Linked DNA regions of Anolis sagrei. The protein of the gene in region 1 binds, or shares a complex with, the protein of each later gene. Links are inferred from orthologs where the notes say so. Each region holds a gene or a part of one and is shown on either strand. Other genes may lie near its edges. The genes, in order: QRSL1 and GATC.

Region 1 (3,914 bases):
TATTTCAAACACAGAATAGTCTGAAATGACAGTGTAAAAGGATGTAGAAGACCTGCTTTCCTTGGTCCTGAAGTCTTCTCAGGAGGTTTTGCTAAGGGCCCCTCCACACAGATATATAATCCAGAATATCAAGGCAGATAATCCACACTATCTACTTTGAGCTGGGTTATCTGAGTCCACACTGCCATATAATCCAGTTCAAGGTGGATTTTATACAGCCGCGTGGAAGGGGCCTAAGAGTACCTCTTGCTGAAGAGATGCTGAGAGAGACTGTAATCAAGGGCTGTCTAACCTGATATCCTGCATCTGTTGGAGTGGATGTTCCATTATGGAGGCACTTTTGGCAGTGGGGTGACAAGAGAAGGATGGGGAAAGCTAAACACAGATGTTTGAGGACATGGTGTGCCAATGCTCAAGAATGCTCACCTGGGAACACAGATCTGTATTTATCTAACCAGAAGTAAATTCTACTAAGCTCAATGACACTACTTCTTAAATAAATGCAGACATAATTGCAGTGCTGCACATCACAGGTGGGAGCTGGCATGCTATAGAAGTTGGCTTGTTAGACTGCAACTCTGGAAACTGGAGTTTGAATCCCGACTTGGCTACAGAAACCCATTAGGTGACCCTGCAAGTCACACACTCTCAGCTTCATAGGAAGGCAAAAGCAATACCCTCCCTACAAATCTTGCCAAGAAAACCCCCTGGTAGGTTCATCTCAGGGTTGCCATAACTCATAAATTACTTGAAGGAGCACACCACCAACAACAGCTTTTCTTCTTTAAAAATCCCATTACAAAAGCTGTCTCTGAATTGCAATGACTGAGTTTGACTGTTTTGGTAGAAGACTGGAATATAAATAAAATCAAAAGCATCCTTGTCACATGGCATAGCTGTACTTGATTTTGTTGTATTACTCCAAGGACTTTAAGTGCCCCCATCCAGGTCCAAATAACTTACAAGGCACCAAATCCTATCTGGCCTTGGAAGCTAAGCAGGGTCACGTCTGTCAAGGAACACAAAGGGCTGCAGGCTGTATTTCCAAGGAAGGAGCCTCTGAGTATTCTATAAGAAACCCTTAAGGAATTCATATATTGACAGGTGACTTGAAGGCACAGGCAAACACTCCAACAATTCAATGCCAAGCATGATATAACACATAATAAATACATCCATACATTAAATAGTTAAAAAATACACATTAGAACTAGCTCGCCAGATTACAATTTCCATATTTAAATTGTCATCCAAAACAGCCCAATAAATTCTTGTCTTCCCAGTAAAACAACTAGTCTGTGAACTCTTGATCCTATAACCAGCATTTAAGTTTTGTCTGGAAGGTCAGAAGGGAGGGGGCAGATCTAACCTCATTAGGGAGGGAGTTCCACAGCCGAGGGGCCACCACGGAGAAGGCCCTGTCTCTCATCCCCACCGAACAGGACTGCGATGGCGGTGAGACTGAGAGCAAGGCCTCCACAGATGATCTTAAGGTCCTAGATGGTTTGTAGAGGGAGATACGTTCCAAGCTCAATGCTATGGAAACAGGAGTGTTGCAGTTTTGCAAGGCATTTCACCTTCTCTGCCCAATAGTTCTGGTGCCTTACTAAACTGCAGCTCCTATACTCCCATAACATTGAGCCATGGCAGTTAAAGTGGTGTCAAACTGCATTCATCCTACAATGTAGATACAGCCTCTTTCTGCTGGTGTGTGAGCAGGTGGGCTATAGCATGTCTAACAATGATAGGAAGGGTCACCACAGTGAAAACTGAAGGCTGCTCTTGTACCTTTAACATCTGTTCAGAAGAGAGCGGGCAAGGCATAGTGGTTTGAGCACAGGACTACAACTCTAGGGAACATGGTTTAACTCCCTGCTTGGCCATGGAAACTCTTTGAGGAACCTTGGGCAAGTCACTCTCTGCCTCAGAAATAAGGTCACCTTAAGAACTTAAAGGCACACAACAACAGCAATGAAAAAGAGGGAATTTCAGGAAGTGTTCCTGGCAGAAGCTTCACCTGTTGTGTTCCTGCTGGTCAGGTAGCTATGGGCCCTTCCAGACAGGCCCTATTTCCTAGGATTTGATCCCAGGTTTTCTCCTTTAAACTGGATTATATGAGTCTGGGATAAACAGAAAACCTGGGATCTGATCCTGGGCTAGAGGGCCTGTCTGGAAGGGCCCTATGATTACCAGAGTGAAAACTGGAGGCACCATTTCAGGGACCCAGGAGCAGCCTCCAGTTTTCACTGTAGCAAGAGCAGCTTCCTGACAAGCAGAATTACAACAGGTGAAGCTTCTCCCAGTGTAGCCATTGGTGTAGCCACATGAACCATTGAGCTGGAAGGGACCCCAAAGGTCATCCAGTCCAACCCCATTCTGCCAGGCAGGAATGCCTCTTCCTTCATGTACCTGCAGCACAGATGAGGCCAAAACCCAATTAGGCCTTGGATAAAATCCCACATTTTCTGCTTTGAACTGCGTTATATGCCAGTGTGGACTCATATAACCCAGTTCAAAGCAGATATTGTGGGATTTTCTGCCTTGATAGTCTGGGATATATGGCTGTGTGGAAGGGCCCTCAATTAACCAGTTCAAAGCAGATATTATGCATTATCAGTTATATGGTTGTGTGGAAAGGCCCTTAGGTGGCCAGGTTGCCAAGCAAGAGACTGAAAGGTGCTCCCGCCAATGAAAGTGAGGAGTCAATCTCTTGCCCCGCCCACCGGAGGGAAAAGAGCCAATCCCACCCGGCGTGTCCTCCCTCACCTCTCGGATCGAAGCGCGCAGCATCTTCCTCGCGGAGCCGGGCGGAACGTTCCGCGAAGCCCTATTCGGCACCCGTCCCTGCCTCCCGGTAGTGACCGAACAGGCTCATGGGCGCCGCCATCTTGAAGCCGCATGCTAACATCAGCGCCGCTGATTGGCTCAAGTCTTGTAGGAAGGGAATGTTGCCGTGTTGTTATTGGCCCCGGTGGCAGACCGTCCCTCTCGTGGAACTGAGAAAGGGAGTTTGTCTGAAGGAGACTTAGGGGAGAGAGAGTTCCGTGTCTGGAGGCTGCAAGTTTTACCTCATGGGGAGGGCGGGGGTGCCAGGCAATGCATTTCGGGAAAATAGGGCCTGTGGGTGACATAATCTGAAGGGAAGGAGCCGCCCTTCTTCCCCCCTCAAAACCCACCGAGCTTTACTTTCTGTGAACCTCAGAAATCTCCTTTCTTGGAAAACCCAACGAATTGAAGTAAATTCAACTGGAAGGCAACAACTGCTTCCTTCTCTGTCTTCCTAGGTCTATTTTACATTTTGATAAATGGAAATAATGTGAGAGATGCTCACTTGAAGGAAAAGGAGCAAAGCTAGAAGTTATCATCTTGAGATATCACGATTCAGTTCAGATTTGTGGGAAAGGGTGCCTTTGAGCTGCCTTCACGAACTTCTGGGTTGCTAAAGCAGCTTAATCTCTCCCCTTCGCCTTCACCATGTTGCCCAGGAAAGTGTTCAGCCTGTTTTGGGCCAGGCCTGGTTGCTTGGCCTCTCTCCCTGGAAGGGGAGCAGGCCCTTGCCCGCAGCCTCTGGGCCGATGCCTGCACGCCTCCTGCCCACGTTGGACCACGATGCCCTCCTGGGTGATCGACCGGTACGGGAAGAATGATGCCCTCCGCTTCACCAGCAACATGATGTTCCCCATCATACACTTCCCGAACGAAGTTATTATTAAAGTCCACGCAGCGAGCTTAAACCCTATAGACCTTAGCATGAGAAGTAAGTGCTTCCATACATAATCTAGCATCGTGAAGATATACACAAAAATATGTACAATCTAGCATCGTGAAGATATACACAAAAATATGGCATGATCGGCATTCAAGGGCATGTGCTTTCAATTTGCAAAAACCTCAGTCTTTACTATTTGCTAACA
Region 2 (3,914 bases), on another chromosome or scaffold:
TGTCTTGCCAGGGGAGTCAGTCTGGGCCAGTAAAAAGCGTTATCTGGGAGAGCAAACAAAGTGATCGCTTGGCCTTTAGAGATCCAGAATCCTCTGCCCTATCCAGAGGAGGGCAATTAAAATGATCAAAGGTCTGGAAACCATGAATCGCTCTGAGGAGCGTATTAAAGAACTTGTCTGTTTAGCCTGCAGAAAAGAGAGGGGGCATGAGAGCCATATATCAATATGGGAAAGGGCGTCATGTTTTCTGCTCCCCTTGAAACTGAGACTAGGAAGTAAAAATGACAGGAAAGGAGATTCCACCTGAACAAGCCCTATGAGGAGCGGCTTAAAGACCTGAGCATGTTTAGCCTGAAGAAGAGAAGGCTGAGAGGAGACATGATAGCCATGTATAAATACGCAAGAGGAAGTCATAGGGAGGAGGGAGCAAGCTTGTTTTCTGCTGCCCTGGAGATTAGGACAAGGAACAATGGCTTCAAACTACAAGAAAGAAGATTCCATCTGAACATGAGGAAGAACTTCCTGACTGTGAGAGCCGTTCAGCAGTGGAACTCTCTCTCTGCCCCGGAGTGTGGTGGAGGCTCCTTCTTTGGAAGCTTTTAAACAGAGGCTGGATGGCCATCTGTCAGGGGTGTTTTGAATTCAATTTTCCTGCTTCTTGGTAGGGGGTTGGACTGGATGGCCCATGAGGTCTCTTCCAATTCTATGATTCTATGATTATGAAGACTGTAAGAAGAGGTGCTCAACGACAGAACTGTCTGCCTCAGAGTGTGGTGGACGCTCCTTCCTCAGAGGCTTTGAAACAGTGGCTGGATGGGCATCTGTCGGGTGTGCTTTGATTGTGCTTTTCCTGCATGGCAGGGGGTTGGACTAGATGACCCATGGGGTCTTTTCTAATTCTATGATTGTATGATCCCAGAGAAACTGCGGGTGCATCTCCACACTGTGAAATTGATGTCACCACTGGAATGGTATCGAATCCTGGGAGTATGGTGAGGCACTAGTCCTTTTGGGACTCCCAAAGGGTCATCCAGCCCAACCCCAGGATGTTCGGTAGGGAGACACTATGGGAGATGGCCAGCCAACGCTTCAAAGCCTCCGGAGAAGGGGACTCCAAAGGACTCCTAGGCAGCCGCAGGATAGCCCGCCTGCCCGCCCGCCCTCTGCGCATGCCCCGGGGCCCTCTTGCCTGGACGCAGAGCTGGTACCGCTTGAAGAGCTGGAGGCAGGGCTCCCCGCCGCTCTCGCCTCCTCCTCCTCCTCCGCCGCCGCCGCCTTCGCCCTTCAGGAACTTCTCGGCGAACCAGCGGTTGAAGCACTGGTCGTAGTCCCGTTTCAGCTCCGTGCAAGCCTCGCCCACGCTGTTCATGGCGGCGGAGCCAAAGGAAGACAAACAGCAGAAGCAGCAGCGCCCCCTCCCTCTCGAGCAAGACCATGGCGCAGGGATAGACCGTCACTTCCTGTCTGGCCCCCGGAACAGGAAGTCGAGCCAGGAAGCGGCGCTGGAGCTTCAGCATGAGGATCGCAAGCGCCTCTTGGGTCTTGAGAGCGGCTTTTGGCACTTGGGTCCCTCCTCGGCCGGGAAGCGTAAGAACTGGCTTGGCCAGGGTGCCTCTGAGCGCGTGCAGAGCGCCGCAAAGGGCTTCCTCACCCCAGCTCAAGCCGCAGCTTCTTTTTTAGCATGTCTACTTCGTAGGCTTTGAATGGCTTTAAAGGTTGGGTCTCTATCTAGAGAGGCAAGCAGGGGATTGAGGCATAAATGGTGCTAACACTCCTATCATCATTCTCTCCAACAAACAAACAAATGGAGTAATATATATTATTTGTATATTTACAATTGTATACTAAGGCCGCTTTGAATATAAATAGAATCCTAGAGTTGGAAGAGACCTCGTGGGCCATCCAGTCCAACCCTATTCTGCCAAGAAGCAGGAAAATCACATTGAAAGCCCCCACCGAACATGGCGATCCAACCTGTTTAAAAGCCTCCAAAGGAGCCTCCACCACACTCTGGGGCAGAGAGTTCCACTGCTGAACAGCTCTCACAGTTAGGAAGTTCTTTTCCTACCATGGGGCAGATATTATTGAGCCCTATAACATATATTGGACTCCAGAGTGCTTTTCAGAAAGACATCTGGTCTCAATTTAGATCCTCTGTGATGATAAATGGTCAACTGTTCTTGCTCCATATCTAGATGTGTGTGTGTGTCGCACACAAAGATGATTTCACACTGCACTGGCATAAAACACGGATAATCTCCTATTATATATAATTTGTGTGTTCTTATTTGGATGCAATTAATGCTGACATTTGGCATAACTCTATATAGTCCAAAAAGTAGGACCAGACTACCATGCAAAGCAACCTACTAAATTCCATCTTGATATGTCTTAGGCTTAACCGCAACTAAACTATTTCCTCCTACAATGGTAATGTACCTGTAAGCAAGCTTTTATTAAGACCATACAGATGTAGCTACTGTTAAGATTTTTAGCATTGAATATATTGTAATAGATTTGATAGAAACATAGAATCCTTGAGTTAGAAGAGACCTCGTGGGTCATCCAGTCCAACCCCCTGCCAAGAAGCAGGAAAATCACATTCAAAACACCCCCAATAGATGGCCATCCAACCTCTGTTTAAAAGCCTTCAAAGAAGGAGCCTCCACCACACTCCAAAGCAGAGAGTTCCACTGCTGAACAGCTGTCACTGTTAGGGAGTTCTTCTTAATGTTCAGGTGGAATCTTCTTTCCTGTAGTTTGAAGCCAGTGCATCCTAGTCTCCAGGGCAGCCGAAAACAAACATGCTTCCTCCTCCCTATGACTTCCCCTCACATCTTTATCCATGGCCCTCATCATATCTCCTCTCAGCCTTCTCTTCTTCTGGCTAAACATGCCCAGCTCTTTAAGCCACTCCTTGTAGGGCTTGTTCTTCGGACCCTTGATCCTTTGAGTTGCCCTCCTCTGGACACATTCCAGCTTGTCAACATTTCCCTTTAATTGCAGTGCCCACAATTAGACACAGTGTGATTCCAGGTGTGATCTGACCAAGGCAGAATAGAGGGGTAGCATGACTTCCCTGGATCTAGGCACTAGACTCCTATTTATGCAGACCTAAAACCCATTGGCATTTTTCGCCGCCACATGACATTGTTGGCTCATGTTTAACTTGTTGTCAACAAGGACTCCACGATCTTTTTCACATGTACTGCTGTCGTGCCACGCATCCTCCATTCAGTCTCTTTGCACTTCATTTTTTCTGCCTAAGTGGAGTAGCTTGGTTACTGTTGAACTTCTTTTTGTTCGTTTTGGCCCATCATCTCTCTAATCTGTTCAGATTGTTTTGAATTCTTCTGGGGTATTGGCTATCCCTGCTAATTTGGTGTCATCTGCAAACTTGATGATCATACCTTCTAACCCTTAATCTAAGTCATTTATAAAGATATTGAATAGGAGGACTGGGCCCAGGACAAAATATATTTATTTATAAATAGCTATTATAATAAAAGTTGTATTGCAATGCTTTAGTTGTGAGCCGCTTTGAGGGCCCTTCCACACAGCCATAGAAGCCAGAATATCAAGGCAGAAAATCCCACAAGATCTGCTTTGAATTAGGTTGAGTCCACACTGCGAAGTATTCCAGTTCAAAGCAGATAATGTAGGATTTTAGTCAGCTTTGTGGAAGGGGTCTGAGTCTCCATATAGTGAGAAAAAGTGGGATATAAATAAACATAATAGTAATGATTATGATTAACTATGTAACAGCTTTTGTTCCTAAGTTAGCAGTCATTTCCTAATTGGTTCTATCATAAAAACATGGGAAAAGTTTATTGCACTGCCAAAACTTTGTTTGTGCAAGACATCCTTCAGCACATTTTGCAATTGTTGTTCAGTGAATATCTGATAAGAGTCTC

What was found.
Region 2: QRSL1 (region 1) and GATC share a complex: the UniProt entries of both Homo sapiens proteins name them as parts of the heterotrimeric GatCAB amidotransferase (AdT) complex. The link is inferred for Anolis sagrei from reciprocal best matches to the Homo sapiens genes QRSL1 and GATC.

What each region holds. Positions count from the first base shown.
Region 1 is NC_090021.1:95,337,986-95,341,899, forward strand, and holds the start of QRSL1 (glutamyl-tRNA(Gln) amidotransferase subunit A, mitochondrial), read right to left. Parts: upstream 2,892-3,914; 5' UTR 2,791-2,891; coding exon 2,767-2,790; intron 1-2,766. Other genes in the region: RTN4IP1 (reticulon-4-interacting protein 1, mitochondrial), read left to right, coding at 3,475-3,757. UniProt on the Homo sapiens protein: Allows the formation of correctly charged Gln-tRNA(Gln) through the transamidation of misacylated Glu-tRNA(Gln) in the mitochondria. The reaction takes place in the presence of glutamine and ATP through an activated gamma-phospho-Glu-tRNA(Gln).
Region 2 is NC_090034.1:46,653,937-46,657,850, reverse strand, and holds the start of GATC (glutamyl-tRNA(Gln) amidotransferase subunit C, mitochondrial), read left to right. Parts: upstream 1-1,382; 5' UTR 1,383-1,515; coding exon 1,516-1,587; intron 1,588-3,914. Other genes in the region: TRIAP1 (TP53-regulated inhibitor of apoptosis 1), read right to left, coding at 1,209-1,369. UniProt on the Homo sapiens protein: Allows the formation of correctly charged Gln-tRNA(Gln) through the transamidation of misacylated Glu-tRNA(Gln) in the mitochondria. The reaction takes place in the presence of glutamine and ATP through an activated gamma-phospho-Glu-tRNA(Gln).